3 linked regions of the Yarrowia lipolytica genome follow. The protein of the gene in region 1 binds, or shares a complex with, the protein of each later gene. Links are inferred from orthologs where the notes say so. Each region holds a gene or a part of one and is shown on either strand. Other genes may lie near its edges.

Evidence for each region.
Region 2: YALI1_C06695g (region 1) and YALI1_F28212g share a complex: the UniProt entries of both Saccharomyces cerevisiae proteins name them as parts of the EKC/KEOPS complex. The link is inferred for Yarrowia lipolytica from reciprocal best matches to the Saccharomyces cerevisiae genes KAE1 and PCC1.
Region 3: YALI1_C06695g (region 1) and YALI1_F13046g share a complex: the UniProt entries of both Saccharomyces cerevisiae proteins name them as parts of the EKC/KEOPS complex. The link is inferred for Yarrowia lipolytica from reciprocal best matches to the Saccharomyces cerevisiae genes KAE1 and BUD32.

Annotation. Positions count from the first base shown.
Region 1 is NC_090772.1:665,184-672,918, reverse strand, and holds YALI1_C06695g (uncharacterized protein), read right to left. Parts: upstream 3,420-7,735; coding exon 2,349-3,419; downstream 1-2,348. Other genes in the region: YALI1_C06724g (uncharacterized protein), read right to left, coding at 1-150, 236-484; YALI1_C06716g (uncharacterized protein), read left to right, coding at 1,232-2,197; YALI1_C06681g (uncharacterized protein), read left to right, coding at 4,795-6,393; YALI1_C06655g (uncharacterized protein), read left to right, coding at 7,347-7,735. UniProt on the Saccharomyces cerevisiae protein: Component of the EKC/KEOPS complex that is required for the formation of a threonylcarbamoyl group on adenosine at position 37 (t(6)A37) in tRNAs that read codons beginning with adenine.
Region 2 is NC_090775.1:2,816,073-2,822,868, forward strand, and holds YALI1_F28212g (uncharacterized protein), read right to left. Parts: upstream 5,245-6,796; coding exon 5,225-5,244; intron 5,167-5,224; coding exon 4,920-5,166; downstream 1-4,919. Other genes in the region: YALI1_F28146g (uncharacterized protein), read left to right, coding at 1-1,145; YALI1_F28202g (uncharacterized protein), read right to left, coding at 1,314-4,172; YALI1_F28222g (uncharacterized protein), read left to right, coding at 6,194-6,796. UniProt on the Saccharomyces cerevisiae protein: Component of the EKC/KEOPS complex that is required for the formation of a threonylcarbamoyl group on adenosine at position 37 (t(6)A37) in tRNAs that read codons beginning with adenine.
Region 3 is NC_090775.1:1,302,712-1,309,207, reverse strand, and holds YALI1_F13046g (uncharacterized protein), read right to left. Parts: upstream 4,537-6,496; coding exon 3,790-4,536; downstream 1-3,789. Other genes in the region: YALI1_F13088g (uncharacterized protein), read right to left, coding at 1-367; YALI1_F13079g (uncharacterized protein), read right to left, coding at 853-1,281; YALI1_F13072g (uncharacterized protein), read left to right, coding at 1,967-3,613; YALI1_F13039g (uncharacterized protein), read left to right, coding at 5,229-5,960; YALI1_F13023g (uncharacterized protein), read right to left, coding at 6,231-6,496. UniProt on the Saccharomyces cerevisiae protein: Component of the EKC/KEOPS complex that is required for the formation of a threonylcarbamoyl group on adenosine at position 37 (t(6)A37) in tRNAs that read codons beginning with adenine.

The sequences.
Region 1 (7,735 bases):
TGGCTCATTCAAATCTGCTAGACGGTCCGAAGCATTTGCTGACCCATTGGACGTGTTTTTTTGACCTCTAAACACGTTTGCTAGCCCTTCCGTATGTCTTCTGGTCCCTCTTATGTCGTCTGACCCTCCCTCATGTCTGTCAGCGGCTATCTATATTCTCAGCTAGCGTGTAGATAGCGACTGACACGAACATTTACCTTCCCCGGTTCAGAGATCAAGCTGTAGATGGGCGTACATGTGTCTGCTCATCGGGTTTCTTCATTCCACCAACAGTCTTCTCCAGCGATCCACTGATTCGGGGCGTCGCCTGGCTCAACACGACATGTGTCTCTTCCACCTTTTGTCGAAGCGTGTTGCTGGCAAGCAGAATGTCGTTAAGCACCTTTTGCTGGGCGTCGCTGGAGTTGACTGTCAGCGCCTCGGCCTCCTTGAAGCCGTTTCGTGACGCTTCCTTGACGCTGAACGAGATGTTTTTGGCCCACATGGTGTGTTGAGTTGGATAGAACTGGGAATCGAACTGAGTATGGTTTGCTTAGTAAGAATAGGTAGGGAGAGATAGGAGTAGGACATTGCTGTTCGCCGAAGTGTCAACTGGGTTCTTTTATCACAGAAATATGATCCTCTCGTAGTTGTACTATCACATGGCCTGTTCTGTACAAGTACTTGTACATGTGCAAGTAGACAAGTATACCCACCCAAAGTAAACATCCCATCAGACTGCTTAACTCCTTAGCAGCACTGACAAGTATTGTGCTTTTACCAGGCAAACTTGAGTGATAATATGTGGGTTTTATTACATATAATTAATAATCAGGTCTCTGTGATTCTCACGAGAGGGTTTTTATCTTTCTAGCTATCCTAAAACCTGCGCAAGATCACTCCTCTTCCACACTCAGTTGCTACTCTACTTATACTCCACAGGAACAGTACCTCCCCACATAACCTTCTGACACGCAGCAACATCACCAAGTGGATCTCTTGACACACGCCTCAGAACATCCACAGAACAGCCATTCCTACAATATTTCGCATTATTGACACGTGGATAGTTTGGTTAAGTGACACAGAAACGATACAAACGGATTCCTGAGCTCAACAGGACACATTGAACGACTAAACGACGCGTACCTCACACACAACTCACACACAACTCACACACAACTCACACACAACTCACACACAACTCACACACAACTCACACACAGCTCACACACAACTCGTCACATTCACCATGTCCAATCTCGATCCCCTTATTGAGACATGTCTGTCACTCATCTCACGGCTTCAGCGGTTTGGTACACACTCTCTGGCGTCTCGAGACGTCCGTCAAGAGCTGGCCGACCTCATCCAGACCAAACTGCGTGATCTGGACACGGAATTCGCACGATACAAGGCCACATGCCCTCAAGACACGACGTCGCAGATCGCACTCGAATCATATACGGAACAAATCGCCAACCTGCGTGTGCTGTACCGAAAGGCCCAGGTGACCAGTGCAAAGAATGTGGAGAAATCGCTGCTCAAGGAACGACAAATGCTGTTTGAGGGCCGCAAGGAAGTCAAGGAGGAAGCCAGCGAAAAGGCAGTGCTCAACAAGTCTCGTGATATTACTCAATCGCTCAAGCGGGTTCATCAACTGGCTTCTCAGAATGTTCTGAGAGGAGAAATGCACTTAGAGAGCCTGGACGAATCGTCGCGTGACATGCAGATGCTGCAGCAAAAGTATACCACCTTTGACGTGCTTTTGGCAGGCTCCAAGAAGCTGGTTCGACATCTTGAACAGGCTGACAAGCAGGACAGAATTCTAATGATGGCTTCTATGGGATTTTTGGCGCTTGTGGTGGCGTGGATTCTATACAGACGGGTGTTGAAGCTCCCCCTGATGATCATCACATGGCCCCTTCTCAAATTGTTTGGAATCGTTCGAGGAAGTGGTCCTAAGATTCCCAAAAACCCAGGTAACCCTGTGCAGGGGTTGGTTGACACGTTAGTCGATACAGTGGTGGAAGCTACTCCGTCTGTGGGCATGGAAACATTGGTGGATACCTTGGTGGAGACGTTGGAAACGGCACTGTCGTCTACCATTGCAGCAGATATAGACCTGGAGCTTCCAGTTGTGTCTGAGCCTCTGGACGATACTCTTCCTGACAGCGGTGTTCCCGAACAGAAGGAGGTTCCCATTCGAGATGAGTTGTAAAGCTCCAAACTCGCAAAAAAAAGCAATACTGTAGCTAATGTAATACAATGATCAAAGTCACGACCATTAAATACAGGTACATACCGTCATGTACTCGTTACAGTGTATTATTACACTTATATATACCATACATACTCCTTGTGAGTGTGTGTTAAACTCTCCAATCTACCAGTACCTCGTCAGTTCTGAATCTCTGAGTGCACTGGGTCTTTTCCATTTTCGTCTCAAAGCCCTGTCTCCATGCCAGAAGACCAGCATGGGCAATCATGATACCGTTATCGATGCAGAAACGCTCGTCGGTGGCGTAGACGGAGCCGTTTCGGTCACGTGCCATGATTCCCATCATCTCCTGGAGTCGCTCGTTGCACCCAACACCTCCCACAATAAGTACTTGCTGAGAGTTGACATGGGCCATGGCTCTTTCAGTGATTTCGACGAGCATGGCAAAGAGCGTTTCTTGTAGCGAAAAGCACAGATCTTCGGCGGTCACCTGATGTCCATCAACCACCAGATCTCCTGCCTGAAACCGCTTTGCCAGAGACTCCACAAACTGCAACACACCAGACATGCTCAGGTCCATGCCCTTGACGGTGTATGGCAATGGAACGTACTTTTTGCCCTTCTTGGCTAGCTGCTCGATATTGTATCCTGGTGAGGGGGCGTTGGGGATCTTCAGCACCCGTGCAAACCGATCCAAGCAGTTACCGACAGCAATATCAAGAGTCTCTCCAAAGATTCGATATCGCTGTTTGGAGTACGCAATCACTTGTGTATTTCCTCCAGAGACGTACAGAACCACGGGGTTTGTGGCGCCCGTGATAGTTCGGCCCATCTCAATGTGTCCCACGCAATGGTTGACGCCCACAAGCGGAACTCCCCACATTTGAGCAATGGTTCGTGCAGCAATCACCACGCTCTGCAAAGGAGCCCCCATACCGGGACCCTGGGTGAACGAAATGCAATGCAGTTTTGTAGGGTCGGATATCTTGGCCTCGTCGAGTGCCCGTTTGATGATTCGAACCACCCAGTTTCGGTGGTGACGAGCTGTGTCTCGTGGCAAGAATCCCTCGCCTGGAGGAGTGATGTAGGTGTCTCGAATGTTGGACAGAATGTCGGTGGAAAAGCCGTTTTCGGCGTTGGCATCCGTCACCGTGTGTTTGATTACGCCCACCCCCAGTTTGTTGGCGCTGCCTTCCAGTCCCAAGCTCAGATAAGTCGTCATTGTGCTGTTGTCTGAAAAACTGACTGAGATACAAAAGCTGCATGGTCGGGTTGGAAAGCTTATTAATTGATGAGCCGCACGATGGGAAGGGGACTACCAGTCGGTGATATTGGTATATTTAGGGCAATTTTGTTTCTGAAAAAACGGTTAATATCGCTAATTATACTCTCTTTACTTTTTCTGAGTGTTAGTTTCTCGAAAAATTACTATTTATGATGGTTTCCATGACATTTTCAGTTCCAACTAACTAACAACTAAAACGGATACTCCAGTTGGAACAATAGTTACGAGTACATTACTCCATTCTCTACTTGCAAAAATACCACAGCTTTCAGACGGACCTTGTGGAAAACGTAGTACGCACGTCACCTATACCTCGGCTATCCATTCAGAATCAGCGTAGTCGATATACTCACTGTTCCAATTGGGGAACCTTTCCAGTTCATATTCCTTCTTCGACGAATCGAAAGAAAAAAAAAAGGAAAAAAAAAGGGGGAAAAAAAAAAAAAAAAACCATCACCAGCACAGACAACCGATTCCGAAGATCGTACCAATCACCCCCAATACTCCCTCTTAGGTGGCTTGGATGTCCGAGACCCCCGAAATGTTGTTCCTAAGATACAATAATGTCGTTTGCCACATTTCTGAGTTCAACTGGGCTTATCTAATCCATCTTACAATGGAGTGGTGTCACAGGATGAGTTTTGGTCCTACAAGAATGTTGAAACAAACCACGTGATCCTGGTGTTGGTGCCAATAAACTGGAACGGTCAGAATCGCAATATCCTTCCCCGTTCACCCCACGGATATACTTTCCATTTCAGGATCACGTCACCCGCAGTGCAGGTTACCTTATCATGCATGTGGCTTTTGGTGACGGAATAAGTCTCATTAATGGTGTTTCTGGCGAGCTGTGATAAAACCGACACGTTTTTTCAAAACTTTGTGTCTCAATTAGTCTACAATTTCATTTTCATCCCTACAGCAGTTAACCCGGAGGTATTACCCCGCTTCTGACATTTTCGGATTCCGATAGTCGGTTTGATAACAACCTTATTTGTAATGATGCCGTTTGTTGTGTGTCTTTATAAGCCACCTGTTTGCCGGAGACACGTTGGCGCCAATTGAGGGAGAGAGAAACTCCAATCTAGTTACACAAACCACAAACAACGCGGTTATCTAAGCGACACGGTTACACAGACGACGCGGTTACACAGACAACGCGGTTACACAAACAACAGTCACGGAATCCACTCAATCGGCCCCCATTTGTCATTTTCTGATTCCGGTCCCCAGGTAGACAGCTTCATTCAGCTACATTTTTGAAAGCACGTACAGTTACAGTTACACCAACTATATCATCACTGTTTCCAGCATGTCCTTCCACGACAAGTTCATTTCTGACCGTTCAAAGGCCCGGTCTCATTCCCATTTCACGCTCAACCAGACGGCCAAGACAACCAAACCCCATTCCAACCCGATTTTCATCTCTGGAGGTCTTCCCAACCCCATTGGGTTCCCCATTGACGAGATCACCGTCAATCTGACCACCAGTCCCAATCCCCGACCTCGATTTGTGCCTGCTGCGACTCTGTTTTCCAAGCCAGGACTGGTCGAGTTCCCCGACATCACCGAGAATAGCACCCGGTTGAGCCAGAACCTCAAGATCCTCAAGTTTGCCGAGTCGCTGGAAACTGCGACAAACGGCAATGGCGGCCAGCTGACTCTCGAGCGATCTCTCCAGTACGGCGAACAAGATGGTCACCCGCAGCTCAAGAAATTTGTGACGGCCCTCACCAAGCGCCTCCATCCCCCCAAGCTGGACGAGAAGGACTGGAACGTGATCATCACCAATGGCGGTGGAGACGGTATTCACAAGGCCGTGGACCTGCTCATTAACCCTGGAGACCATGTCCTTGTTGAGGAGTACTGCTTCTCTCCCTCCTTTGACAACATTAAATCTGTCGGAGGTATTCTTGTTCCCATCAAGCTAGATTATGACGAGGGACTCGACGTGACTGGTCTCAAACGGATCCTTGAAAACTGGGATGAGGCCAAGCAGGGACCCAAACCCCGAGTTCTGTATAGTGTTCCTTCTGGCCAGAATCCCTACGGAGTCTCCCAGTCTCTGGAGAGACGTAAAGCAATCTATGCTGTTCTGAAAGAACATGGGATCGTCATCATCGAAGATGATCCCTACGGAGCCCTGGCCTACGAGTCCTACAACAAGAAATTCACCAACGGCAACTCCTCCAAGTCTCTGAACACTCCGGAGAAGGCTCATGACGAGTCTGTCGACTCTGAGGCACGTGAATCCGACATCTCCAAGGCTGATATCGACCATTACACCTCCTTGATCGCTCCCTCTTACCTCACCATTGATGATGTAGGACTGGTTGTTCGAATTGACACTTTCTCCAAGGTATTTTCTCCGGGACTTCGACTTGGGTGGATTGTCAGTCACGTCAACTTCATTGAGAAGCTATCTCTATACACTTCTCTTTCAACCCGGGCCGCTTCCGGCGTTTCTCAGCTGCTGATCAACAACATTGCTCACTCTTGGGGTCTTGAGGGCTGGTTGCGTTGGTGTCTTCTGTTGCGAAACCAGTATCTGGAGCGACGAAACCACCTTCTAGCCCAGCTGGACAAGCTCGACCAGTCCAAGATCACCTACATCACGCCTGTCTGTGGTATGTTTGTGTCTGCGCTTGTTCATTTTGATAAGATTGCGTCTTCGTCGTTTAATGGCGTCACTCTTCCCTACCAGTCGCGACTGGTGGAGCTTGGAATCGAGGAAGGAGTTCTGATTGTTTCTGGATCCAATATGGCTGCTTCCGAAGAGCTGCGTCAAACGGCCAAGTTCATTCGACTCACTTTTGCCTATGAGGATCCCGATCTGCTCGACGAGGCTATCAAGCGATTGGGTAAGGCGGTGGACCGGCTTTTTGAGGAGGGTGAGATTAAGCAGAAGTAGGTGTTTTCTGTATAGTACAAGTACATACTGTACCAGTATCGGTAGATCCAATACAAGTTCATCTATTGTATGCAGTAATTAGTCCAGGTTGCTCGGAGTAAAAGCAACTCCGATCTCCGTGAATATAGTCGATTGTTGTCAACAGATGAATCATTTGTTTAATGTAACGCGTCCAGGAACCACACGGCTGTGGCTGTGCCGAAAACGTTTTAACGATATTGGACTATTTTTGGACCATGGTGTCGTATCTCCAACCTTGCTATTAATAGCTCTGAGAATGAGGGAGGATAAAATATCCCAGAGGGGAGCTTTTTGGGAGCTCTAAAGGATACAATGGGTATAAATGGTTGGCAGCTATCAGAGTATCAACTCTCTCTTGTTCGTCTACTTCTCAATTGTTCAAAAAAATCTTTCGAAGCAGGGCTATACACTTCAAATTCAGTTGTATATACAAACAACGTCACATCTTAAATGGTACTATTTATTGGTTCAGAATTGCCACTCAATATCGTTTGGACACTTTTGAGACGTTTGCCACCCGTTTCTTTACAGCACCTGAACTGGTGGTAGGTGAAGACTGGTGATATTCTCTGTGCTGTTTGTATGGGTTTCTCGTGTTACATGGTCACGCATCGGAATGGGAGGCAGGGTATCTTGTGGACATCAAGGAGGTGTAAAATAAGCAGTGGAAAATTATACACTATGAGTTCAATTTTGACGGCTTTATTCTCCCCTATTGTCATTAAGTGCCAGTCTATCAGCTCCAAATCTAACGTCTGATTGCGTTGGCAAGATATTGACACTACTGTACATACTACGGGTACATACTGTACGGTCTGGATCAGCCGCTTTAGTGGAATGTAAACGATGACATACCTTACGAAACCAGAGACCTTTTATACTCGCAAGCGGCTCAATGATCGTCAATATATACCCCTCAGTTCAGTCGTACCATGTGTATGTTTTTCTTCACCCCCATGCCTGTCACCATTCGCACTGAAATCACAATTGACGCTTCTCCAGAGTCGGTTTCGGCCATTCTGTTTGATTTCAACAACTACCATAAATGGAATTCGTGGATCTCCATCTCGGGACCTCCGCCACTATCCCACAAATCAACCTATTATCTCTCTCTGGTAGGAGAACAACTTACAATGGACCAAGGAGAACTTCACTATGCACCTGTGATCATGCTGGCATCTCCAAGTGTTTTGAAATGGACTTGGTACGAGAAACACAAGTGGTTCATGTCTCATGAACACTACTTTGAGATTGTTCGCTCCCAAAATGACTCACAAAAATGTATCTTGAGACACGGAGAGAGATTCTCAGGGGCAGGAGC
Region 2 (6,796 bases), on another chromosome or scaffold:
GTGCCCCCCAAGATGGGCAGCCCACTGAAGCTGTCAAGACTGAAACAGACAGCATAAGTGCCGGTGATGTGAAGGAAGAGCCCGTTGAAACGCCTGTTGAGACCCCCAAGCCCACTACTGTTATCACTCTCCCCAACCCCCCTCATACTTCTGTTTGGGTTGATTTCCTGCGAATGTTCCCCAACCCCCTGACTGCTTCTCAACTTCAGAACATGGTCATTGCCCTCAATGATTTCCTGATGGCTATTCCTCTAATCCAGCCCTCTTCCAAGCGAGAAGGATTCGCAACTGTTCCCGATGTCTCCTGGGAGGACGTTGGTGCTCTGGCTCAGGTTAGACAGGAGCTTCACATGGCCATTGTCCAACCCATTCGACAACCGGATCTGTTCAAGATGGTTGGTGTTGATGCTCCTGGAGGAGTGCTTTTGTGGGGACCCCCTGGTTGTGGTAAGACCCTGCTTGCTAAGGCTGTGGCTTCCGAAACTGCCGCCAACTTCATCTCTGTACGAGGACCCGAGCTTCTCAACAAGTACGTGGGTGAAAGTGAACGTGCTATCCGACAGGTGTTTGAGCGAGCTGCTCTATCGTCACCCTGCATTATCTTCTTTGATGAGTTTGACTCTCTGGCTCCTCGACGAGACGACGGCGGATCCGAGCATTCTTCCAGACTTGTCAACACTCTTCTTACCGAGCTTAACGGTCTCACTGAGCGAAGAGGTGTGTACGTTATCGCTGCCACTAACAGACCAGATATTATTGATCCCGCCATGGTTCGACCCGGTCGTCTGGACAAGACTCTGTTTGTGGGCTTGCCCGACGAGAATGAACGGTTTGAAATTCTGTCGAAGGTGTGTCGAAAGCGACCCCTGGCTGCTGATGTCAACTTGCGGAACATCGTTGCGGACTCTCGATGTGGAAACTACTCCGGTGCCGATCTCACCCAGCTGGCCAACGAGGCTGGTCTCATGGCTCTCAGACAGCAAGTGTTCACCCATGGAGCTGAAATAATTCACGATCACAAGGCAGCTCCTCCAAGCAGCATTGAGATTACTAACCACCATTTTGAGGAAGCCTTCAACAAGATCCGACCTTCAGTCACTGACGCAGATCGGCTCAAGTACGACGCTCTCAAGCTCACTTGGTAAGGGGATGACAAAAAAAAAACTATAGATACATGATGCAATGACAGTAATAAAATATACCAATGTAATGCGATGATATTTTTTTTTCAGTACGATTTTCTACTAGTAGTATAAGGATATGAGAAGAACTACGTCGACGGATGTGATATGGAATACCAATAAGTTAGCTATTTATACACTGAGCTCGCTCTTTCTGCTTCGCATGGATCGAATTCCAGGAGTCTCGTTGCGGCGTTCTCCAGATTCCTCTCCGTACATGTTCATGAACTCGGCACCAGAGGACACTGCCACAGATTGTGTCAGAGCCAAGATACGCATGTTCTTGTCGTTGGTGACAAGCAGAGCTCGAACAACGCCCCCACGACTGCCCTTTTGCAACTTGCAAACGGTTCGAGTGATGAGCTCATCCATGGTAGGCTGGCCACGTTTGGGCAGCCCCCCGTAGTCGTTGGTAAAGCGAACAACACCTTCGGCACAAGCTTGCTCGTTGAGAGCAGCTCCATCGAGACCAACAATGGTTAGACTCGATCCTTGGCCCTTGGACTTGATATAGGCCAGAGCCTGTTGCGCTAGGGTGCTCGTTCGGACGTCACGGTTAAATGTCTGCAGTTTCTGCAACTCGTGCATGACCATAACAGGCACTTTGATGCGCAGCCAACCGCTCTCAACCACAGTGACGATGAACTCCAGTTCGTTCAGCCATAGATTGGTATCGAAAATAATGGCCGGCTTTCGTTCACCTGCCAGAGGCGAAGTGGTCAGTTCCAGGTTTTCAATCTTGGACTGAACGCCACACTCCTGGCGCACCATGTCTCGTTTTTTGCACAATGATTGAATGTCATCAGAAGTCACTGACGAGCTCTCTCCACCAATATCGGGCAGAAACTCATGGTATGCTTCGTACTCGGAGATGTAGTCAGGAGCTTCTGTTTTGGATGCCAGACAAGAAGTCAGCTCGGGATCCTGTTCAAGACCGGAATCACCCAGTTTTAACAGTCGAGTATCACATAGCTGTCTGATGAGATCCTGAGCACGCTCGAGCCTAGTACATTCTCCAAGAGTGTAGTCCAGTTGGCCACCCAGAGACATGGTGTTGACAATGTCTTGAGTATCACTGTCAAAAGGACAAGACAAGACCTCTTTGGCCCATGAGAAGCCTCGTAGAAGCAGCTCTTCGGGGAGTTTGGAAACATAGCCCTTGGGAGCTGGGGGGAGTTCGCGAGGGGGAGGGGCCTTTTTGAAATTAAAATTGGACCCAGTTGTGTCGTTGTTGTCAACAGGAACTCGGGCAGTTTTACGCTGGATCTCGTTGAGATACCACAGCATATCCTTCCAAGGGAACCTATGGTCGAGCACCTCGAGGAACACTTTGGGGTGTTTGGTTAGAGCCAACATGAACAGCAGCCAGGGAATAATGTGAGGAAGAGCCTTATCCGATGTGAGAGCTAGATGGGCACGAAGAATGTGAAATGCAACATATTTGTTCGGACTGGGAACAACAACGTTTTCTTCGTCCACACTGTTTCTCCACACTCCAGCTAGAGCTCCCCGACCATACTCATGCAAGCCAGCAATGTTTATGGCAGCGAACATGGCAGATCGAGATGCCAAGAAGGGGCTTGGAGTTCGAGCAATGACAGCGCCCAAGGAAATGAGCTTCTGACGGATGTTGGGAAAGCGACCCTTGGTGACTCCTTCATGAACGGAGACGAAGGAGTCCACGACCACCTCGAGGGGTTCGCGTTCGCCCTGTCGCTGCATCTTGGCTGCCCCAGCGTTGAACAGGGCATCCATTGTATTAGAAGCGGGTGCAAACGGAACCATACAAAGTGTGGCACGACAGAGAGACAATAATGACTCCAGACGGCATGCAAGTACTAGAGCAAAGTGGTGGTGAGGCCGCCCATTGTCGTTGTATGTGAGAAGAGTTCGGCTGTACCACCAATGGGCTACTCCACGCCAGTAAACGGCATCATCTGTTCGAACAGACATGCCAATACGAGCGAGATCCCCAACAGCTTCGGTCCAAGAGGGAAGATTTTTGCCGTCAGCTTCACGGTCAAAGTAGGGCTCTGCTAACAAGAGGAGTGTCTGGGCACAGTGTCTCAGGTGGTCATTCAGGTAACGGGCCGCGTAAGGCTGCAGGTTCCGGGCAATGTGCACAAAGGCATACACTCCTCGGGACCACAGTCTGCTAGGGATGTCGTACTTGTTGACCAGTCCACGAAGTGACGTAGAGTCGTTGTAGTGAGCTGCTCGAAGGAAATCGTAGTGGGCGTCCAGTAGAGCAGCATGCCGCTTAGTGGCATCTGCCAGTAGACGGTTGAGACGCTCTTGACGAATGTCAGTATGCTGTGTGATGCATGGTTCGTCCTTCTGAGGAATCTCCTGTGCGAGTTTCTGCATAAGTCGTCCACACTGATCTTCCAGCTGGCACACTCGGTGGTAGATGTTTTGAAGTTCCTGGTGGACAGCCGACCTGGCAGGAGATGCAGGTGTGGGAGTTGGAGTACTCATCATAGAGGCAGTGGATGTGGTACTTGCGGTCGGGGAGGACATGGTGGCATCATTGTCTTGCTCTTCCCGCATGTCTTCACTTCGTTTGTTGGGTTGGTTGGAGGCTGTATCTCTCGACCGGCGTTTCTTGGGTGTCGGTTTTCGATCTTCTGTCAGCGCAGAAGGCACGGTCAGATGCGACGAATGGATGGCCGGGGTGACCTGGCAGGGCTGCAGAGGCACGCTGCTAGGCTCAGGAGTCATAGTCATAGTCGCAGCTGCTGAGCCTCGTGACACCACAGATGGTGAGGGCTTACGTTCCCGATCTCCGCGTCTGCCATTGGCGGTGTTGGGTCGATTTGCGGGTTTCGAAACGGAACCTTCGGTGACGGGTTTCTTGTTGCGAGACGCCGGCGTGGAGGGCTTGGGCGACTTCTTTCTGGCGGGACGTTTGGCGGTTTCAGACTGTGCGGAAGACACGGATTGATTCGGCGTTTTCTTGTGGCTTCGTTTTCGCTCTTTATTGTTGGCCATTATATGCGTTCATTCGCCGCATTCTCTGGGATGATGGCTAGGGTGGTGAGTAGGCGACGGAGAGTGCGATGCGGGGTGCAATATTTCCGTCTTGGCTGCTGCTGGTCGTAATGTACGTATGCTGAGTGATATAAATTACCTTAGTTAGGATTACATACACAACTGCGCTTACGATTGCTTAGTCAGTTGGGACGCCCACAAAGGGAAGGCCGTAATTTCTGTGAAATTGCCACCGTAAATTAGTCTACAGTAACAATCTCAATTAGTCTTGGAGACGGCGTTGGTCATTATGCTTTAAAATGAGTAACAAGAATGGCCTCCCTGTCTGATCAGTTCTTGAGACATGGCTGCAATGAGATCTGCGTCTTCCTCACCTATCTCAGGTGGCATGCAACATGACAATGCTCACTCACACACGACATACCTGTACTTGTTTTTGTTAACGGTTCTACACCATTGGTCCTTGATATCACACCCGAACTAGCTGATTATTTGATGTTTATTGGTTTTACACGTTTGCCTTTTCTGGTTCGCAGGTTTGCCTCTGGTGCCGTCCAGGGACAGTTACAACTGCTGCAAATCTAGGGAAATTTATTCAGACATCGGCGTTTGTGTGATGACTAATCAGTTGCTAGGGAAATGATCACACTCTGTCCAGATATTGAGGTGCCAGTATGCCAGCTTGACACCGCCGTGCCCCTCCTGCGGCCTCATAAGTGCCCTCCATCTTCACTCGCTATCTCTCACTTATGGTCCAAACTTGTCGAGATCCAGCTCGTCCAAACACTCAATGGCAGTGCCAATGTTGTCCATCATGTTGTTGACACCGACTCGCAAAGACCGGTTAGATGCAGCGGCAAAATGAATCAACAGACTGGAACCCTTGGTGGTCAACTCATGGCTCAGCTCGTCGGCCTTGAGAGGCTTGTCCTGAGATATTGTGGTGCAGACAATCTGAGCCTGTCTGTCATTGGGGAACGGAATCTCCACGTCACTGTGTTAGTTCGTGTCCAAAGCGAGTGTTGTGGCTTCCCCCACATTCTCCTACTCACAGTGTGTATTTGCCTGGCATGGTTGATATTGGTGTGAAACGTTTCTACGGTTGCATGTAGGTCCTGAACTTTGTTGGATTGTGACTAAGATGTGATTAAATGTGATTAAATGTGATTAAATGTGATTAAATGTGGAATAAGATGGATAGATCAGAGAACAATACGAGAGCCGTTGAAATGGATATTTCATTGCATATTACTAATCCAATCATGTGCTCCAAGTGTGAGTCGTTCGATTTATAAAACTTGAAGCCTATGAGCTTCCACGTGCTCTTATCACCCCCAATAGTCTTACGCTTGCTTTCGGACCTTTAAAACCGGCTGTAGACTTTTGGTAAACTTGATATCCGGGGATACTTGGGGATCGTCTCTTGGAAGAGTCCTTGCCTGGGTACCGGTACTTGTAGCTGAGAGAAACAAGAGCAATAGAGCAATACTGTCATTGCATTGTGAGGCTTGCAACCAGAGGCATATAAATGGTTTCTTCTCTGAGTACTCTTACGAGAGATAAAAAATGGCTTTCAACGAGATACTGTAAGGGTACTGTAACAAGCTGTTTCGTAGAGACTCTACAAGAAACCACCTTGTAAAGCCCGCTGATGTAGTACATACATAATAAATGTATTTTTCACCAAATTGCAGCAGAGTTTAGGCCTTTCAGAAACCCCGATTCGGTCGTATGATACGAGACGAAGGTTTCGTTGTCGGCTGAGAGATGCTCGACATTGAACAGACACTGAAACTGCTCAATTACGAGTACTCGTACTAGTATACAAGAAACGGACACTTTGTCCCCATTTCATACAAGTCACCCTCGGTCTCTCAGGGACAGCCTTGCGCGGCGTAGTCATCTGATCTTCATGTTATTTGACTCGTTTGTCGATCTAAACAGAGTAGGGTTGCACAGTAGATACTTCTACATTATCTACGAGCATCCGAGAGTAAGAAGTAGAGTTATAAATTAAATTAATGGAATCGTCGGGTATCTGTCGCTTAGTTGTTAGCGGCAGAGAAGTAAGCCTGATCAAGTCGGTTAGAGGCGGACTTCATGGAAGAAGTCTCGGAGTGCATCCAGGGGAAGAGGTTGGCAATAGAGCCAATGAACTGCTTGATAAAGTCAAGGAAGTTGCCGAAGAGGCTCCTGAAGACGTCACCAATAGTGGAGATGGGACCGTCAGTGAACAGAGAGATAATAGTGATGGCAATCTGCTGCATCACCTTGGCGAAGCCCTCGGAAAGGGGGTTGATGATGAGAGGGCCAAGGGTCTTGGCGACGTCACCGACAATGGGCAGAGTCTTGAGGTCGTCAATCAGAGTGGGGAAGAGGTTGTTGATCTGGGTGACACCCTTCTGCAGGTTGTCGTAGACGGTGCCCTTGGACTTGTCGGGGTGAGTGATGATGTCAAGGGTAGAGGTGACAGTCTTGAGGACGACTCCACCGAAATCAATGAAGTCGTCAATGGTGGAGTTTGCTCGAGCCTCGAGGATAGCACCCTCGTGGACAGCGGGGGCGGCCAAGGCTGTGGAGGCAATTGCAAGGGGGAGGAGGACGTTCTTGATGGCAACCATGGT
Region 3 (6,496 bases), on another chromosome or scaffold:
ACATGATGGCTTCCAGGATGAGCCGATCACGGTCCATCAGCGGTAGCACCCACGTCACTATAAGGATCAACACTGGCAGGAACATGTTGGCCATAACCAGCCCAATTCCGGTGCCATCTCCCTCACTAAACATGACGCTGAATCCCATGTACCATCCCGGTCCCATTGATCCAAGCAGCAACAGAATAGACAGGACTCCGGCCGCCGTGACATTCTCTTTGGTGATGTTTGTTTCGCCCTGATTCTTTTGGGCCTCGTGTCGCTCCGCGTCCTGCTGGATCAGCTGCGACTTGAGCTCGTCCACCTCGCTACGCAGCAGCTCCAGCTCGCGCTCCATCTCCATTCGCAGTTCGGCAACTTCAGACATTTGGGGGTTCAGTGAGGACAAGCGCAAATCGCTCACTTGTTTGGTCTCGGTTATCTCGCATTAGGCAACTTTAAGTGGGGTATCGTGTGTACAGTACATACATGTTGAAAGATGAGAGAGGTAGAGAGTGAGTGACTGAGTCCCCGAAGACGGGGGAGAGACGGCGGGGGTCATTTATAGTCATGAGATCTCATTTCCTCACCTCAAATCACATCACGTGACTACATCTCTTGCATCGGCGGCTCCTAACCAGTCCGTCGTCTGGGTGTTCTTCACTACTTTCCAGTGGGTAAATAAGCTCATTCTACTTAGGGGGTGCGGTCCAGCCTTTTGCTTTCAACTGACTAACACGATTCAACGTGAACTCCCATCTACTTGTACAATTGGCCAGCTCCGGCGGACGTACGGCAACTACAAGTAATTAGATTCATACCAATCAACTAAAAATACAAATATTCACTGTCTCTCCGTCTTCTGGCCCATCTCTACTGCGTTTTCTTGTCCTGGGCAGTATGTTTGTTAGCCTTCAGAGCTGCTCCCAACTCGGTCAACACCAGAGTAGCCAGCAGAATGCCCACCAGGTAGAGAGACATGTCGCCATGGCCAGAAAACTCCCACGATGCAAACGCAATGTAGACCACCTTGGTGGCGAGAAAAATGGGCTTGGGGATCTTTATGGCCGTGGTCACAAAGTTGGCCGGGAAACACGCCTCCGTCACCAGTCCTCCGACGTACATAACGTGCAGAAACATGGTGAAGAAGGCCAGTCCAAGCTGCTTGTCGGACAACACCTCGGCAATCTGGCCCATGGGCCAGGGAGCGCCCAGAGCGACCAGTACACCGGCAACACCGGCGACGGAGTAGTCAAAGTCTGTGCCCAGAGGGCCTGCTGGTGGCGGTTGTCGCGGGATCATTGTGTGTGTGTTGATAGGTGCAAGTTTGACAATTGATTTCCACACTATAAAATTATCGTCGCGCGCCGTGGAGATACTGCACCTCCAAGCACGTGGGTATGATAGATGAGGAAGAATGCATTAGTGCTGACAGTGGCAGGTGGTGTGGACGTAGCACTGTTGGAGAAGGGTTTTTTCGTTATAATACGTCTACTGCAACTATAGTGCTTATAGTGAATTGTTGTGTGTGATGTCTCAATCATTGTAAACGGTTTATATATATAGTTATATATATACTGTATTATAATTTCTGCATATACATTCAGTTAATTATAACTTTGCTTTGAAAGAATAACCTTTTTATATACATTTTGTTACTACTGTAGTCACCCAGCTTAGTTGGGAGTTGTGTGCTTACTTGACATGATACTTCATGAAAGCTGTGACGAAACAGAGTCGGTAATTGAGTAACTGAGTCACTGAGTAAGTAGAAACCGCCATTCAAGTCATAATTGAGTCCTAGAAATCTTTTCTGACAAGAATCTAGGGAAAAAACCACTCACCTGTCATACAAACAATGCCTGTTAAAGATCTTCTAACCATCGTCCCCAGATCCACTACGTGCATGCATGCACCACCTAAAGTGAAATAAATCTCGTTCATTAATACTGTTCTCTCAAATCATCACCATCATCCTAAACACAACATGACAACCAGAGCTGCTCTGGAGGAAATGGAGGTGATCGAGGCCGGTATTGCCGAGCGACTGGCCTTCAACCCGCTCATTCTGCCTCCTTCACAGGCCCTGACCCCCAACTCACCTCTCCAACCGAGACTACAGAAGCTGAAAAATGTGCCCTTCACACGACAAGTAGGCACCCCCACAACCCACAGGCAGACAGTGCTGCGCCAGCACGAGATTGCCACGATGCTGGATACGTACCAGAAGCTGGCTCGACGGCTCAAGGCCGAACTCGACGCCCCCAGAGGCAAATCTGGGTCTCGAAATCTGTCTTCCAAGGAACTCAAAGGCGTCATGACGGACTTTTACGCCAAAATCGACAAGATCAAACAGACACTGGTGCCCGGAGAACAAGCTCAAGATATGTACGCCAACTACACTCTCAAACGACCGGCTCTAGACGTGTTTGAAGACGACGGAGAACAGGAGGAGAGCGTTATGAGCCAGGCTGAGAGCAACACGCTTCCCTCAGGCATTTTCAACACAGCTCGAAAGATCAATTTTGGCCAGAAATACACAGACGCCGAAAACTCGGGCAGATACCTCGACATGACCCCTCTATACATTGAATACCAGCAGCAGAGAATGGGTCATGTGGGATACATTGGATTCATCAAATCCTTTTACAACGTCGACATTTATGACCCCCAGACGTGTGCGGCTCTGGGCAAAAAGTACCCTGTGTTCCTCGAGTCCATCGTCTCGTATTTGGAGTCGTTTATCACCAAGAAGCACATTCTGGAGGACCCTCAGAAGACGATTGACTCGATTCGAAAGTCAATAAAAGTGACTGATTCCAAGCAGGACAAGGAGGAGAACCCTGAGTTGTTCTGTAAGTTCTGTGACAAACAGTTCACCAACCAGGCTGTCTACGACAACCATTTGCCTGGAAAGAAGCATAAGAAGGCCGTTGCCCGAGCTGAGAGTGGTGAAACCCCTACACCTACATCTGCTCCCAAGGCTTCTACTGCAGCCGCTCGGACTCCTGAGACGATTTTGGCCCATCTGGAAGAACTGGCTGAATTCCTGAAGTCGACTATTGACAGCACCGTTGCCAATTTGGAACGGAAGCAAGCGCTGACTAATTCCGAGAGACAGGCTGAAATCGCGGCTCAGCAGGACCAGGACCGTCTTACTGACGAAAACCTCAGATACGGACAGCAGAGCGATGGCTCCCCCTGGTCCAAGAAACAAAAGACTGGAGATGAAGATGACGAAGACGAAGATGAGGTCATCTCCAACCCTCTCAAGCTGCCTCTTGGGTGGGACGGAAAACCCATTCCTTTCTGGCTGTATAAGTTGCATGGTTTGGGAATTGAGTACACATGTGAGATCTGTGGAAATACCACCTACCGGGGCCGAAAGATCTTTGACAAGCACTTTTCCACACCCAGACACATCTTTGGACTCCGATGTCTTGGTATCGAGCCGTCTCAGGCATTTAAAGGCATCACCAAGATTGAGGAGGCCAATGCATTGTGGGACCGAATGAAGAAACAGCTCAAGACGGTGGAGACTCGAGAAGAAAACATTGTCGAGGTGGAGGATAGCGATGGAAACGCCATGAGTGAGAAGACCTACGAGGATCTCAAGCGTCAGGGATTGTTGTAGATAACTTATAGCATAATGTATATTACCTAATAGCGGGAAGACGATGTGTCTGTGCAGTGTGTGAATGCTAATTCCGAACATCTTTCGATGGTACAATATCTGATATACAATCAATATTCATGTTAGGTATGGTTTTGTTGTGATTTTCGTACATAATTCATTACGCAGTCGTCACTTCAACCTAGCATGGACCGCTTTCGTCCTCGCTGTCGAACATCCTCCAGTTTTCGCATCACCTCTTTCTGACTCTTGCCGACAACAGCCAGGTATCCTTCAAACAACCAGTCGCAGTACTGTTGACTGTGGACAGGATGAGTACTGAGAACGGCTCGCTCCATGACATATAGATCCACAGCCTTATCTTCGGCCAGAGTGGACACGGAAGCGAGTCCAAAGTCGATGATGACAGGCTTGCCGTCTCTCAACATGACGTTCGAAGTGGTCAGATCGCCATGGACAATGTCAGATTTATGCAACTTGCCGATTTCTTGGCCGACAAGAACCAGGGTGTCCTTCAGAGAAGACACGTCACCATCCGGTAACGATCTGCTCTTATCTCCGGCCTCCTGGGCCCCTCCTTCGGTGTCTCCCTCCTCGTTCCAGATCCACTGCTTCACACTCAGACCTTCGATCTTCTCCATGTAGATGAGTCCGTTTTTGGCATCGATGAAGACCAGATGGGGCACTTCCACGTCTCCAAGAGCCAGCTTCTGCAACACCCGGGCCTCGGCCAGCGTTCTGTGTTTGCTGAGCTGGGCATCAAGTTCCGGAAGACGATATGGCTTCTTGGGTCTGTATTTAACGATGCATTCTTGTTGGGGGAGGTAGGGGTGCTGGGCGGAATACACCAACGACTCAGCGCCTTGTGCAATGAGATTTTCCTGCTTGGACAGCTTCTCCAGCTGCTCTGGAAGTGTGATCATGATGTGGTGGTGGTGGTTAAGGCTAGGAGACGATATGCAGCTTGATACAATTTATTTCCAGTCATGTGATCAGAGAGAATTTAGACCGGTGTAAAATGGGGTATAGGGGAGATGAGAGAAGAGTTGCAAATGGATATAGGTAATGTTGGATTTTTTGATATCATCAGGTTTTATTGTATTATTTATCTCCCCAGGGGGATATATGGAGTGGACATGTTCTTACTTGAAGTTACTCTATAATATACTTGAGTTTAGTTGACCATTTTTCTCCTGACGACAACAACTATTTGGGTGTGAAGAAGCCTCAAAATGACTGTTTTTCAACATTAATCGAATCAGAATGATATATCCAATATGATCATGTATTCACTAATAGGTCTTCACAGCCAAATATACCATCTTTCAGTGCCTCTCCTGTTCCCAAAAGTGCTACAAGAATCAGAAGTTTCACCCTAACATTGTACACACACTTTCCACCATCCAATGACAATGTCCAGTTTCATAGAACGGTGAAAAATGTCCTAAGGAGCAACAGCGTGCTCTTAGCCCATTTCCCCTTTCGTTTTTCGCCCACAATCCACCATCTCCAGATATACGTAGATTTGTATCACGTGACTTGAGATCATCAGCATGCAGACCCCAGATCTGACTCAGCTCTATCTCTCTACAGCTACACGCAACCCCGGGAAATCATGAACATCCTACTGCTCAAGAACCCTACGACGCCGCGAGATTTCTACCAGGAGCTGTTTGTCGAGCAGAAGGGTCACAATGCTGTTTTTGTGCCTCTTCTGCAGCATTCTCCGGTCGGAATCGAATCTCTCAAAACACACATTGCCAACGAGGTGGATGGTATTGACGCCGTGATTGTCACCTCTCACCGCGCAGTTGAAATCCTCGGAGAATACGCCAGTCCAGAGCTGCTCTGCAAACCTGCATACACCGTTGGTCCGGCTACCGCAAGGTGTCTCCGCGAACTGGGCTTCAAGGACGTTCGAGGAGAAGAGACGGGTAATGGAGCCGCTCTTGTGCCGCAACTGTTGTCGGATGGATACCAGCGATTTGCCTTTTACGCAGGAAAGGTGCGACGAGACACCATCCCCAACAAGTTAAGAGAGGCTGGACGAAGTCTGGTGGAGTACACTGTTTATGAGACTGTTGATCTGGACGACATTGCTGGACGGTTTGAGAAGGCTGTGGGGGCGCTCCCCGACGCCAAGCACAACTGGATCTGTTTCTTTGCTCCCTCTGGCACCGCTCAGATTGTGGAGTATCTCAAAAAGAACCCTGCTCATGGCTTCAAGATTGCCAGTATAGGACCTACCACATTGGACTACCTACAGAAGAATGACATCAAGGTGGATGTGACGGCCAAGCAACCCGATCCCGAGCATTTCCTCGAGGCTATGCTCAGTGAGTCGTGAACAGATAGAGATTGACGCACGTTTGGATGGGTAGAGAGGGGGGGGGGGGGGGAATATGGACTTAATACAGGGAATGTTTGTAACGTGTTCAATTGTAGCAATGGATTGGCATTGTTTGTGAAGGTCTACAATAACAGATAAGTCCACCCGTCTCCTTTATACATTATCTGTGAAATAGTAGCTACTTGTACTCGTAGACTATCTACTCACACCTAACAGTCAATCATAACGTTCATAATATGCAAATAGTTCAATATCCAACCGGCGTGGTTACTCCAGCCCGACCTTTCCAAAGGCCTTGTCCAGCTCATTGACGGGCTCCTCCTCCTTGCCGTCCTCCTCGGTGTCCATCTCCTGCTCCTGCTCCACAGTTTCGGTCCTCTTCTGAGGCACCAGAATTCGGTCCACTGAATCCAGGTATCCAGGAGCAATCTTGCGCTGTTCTTCCCGGGTCTGCTGGTCCACGTTCTCCCGCCAGCTCTGGTATGTCGCTACCGCGGCTCTATGATCCTGCTCCAGCTGTTCCAGCTTCTGAC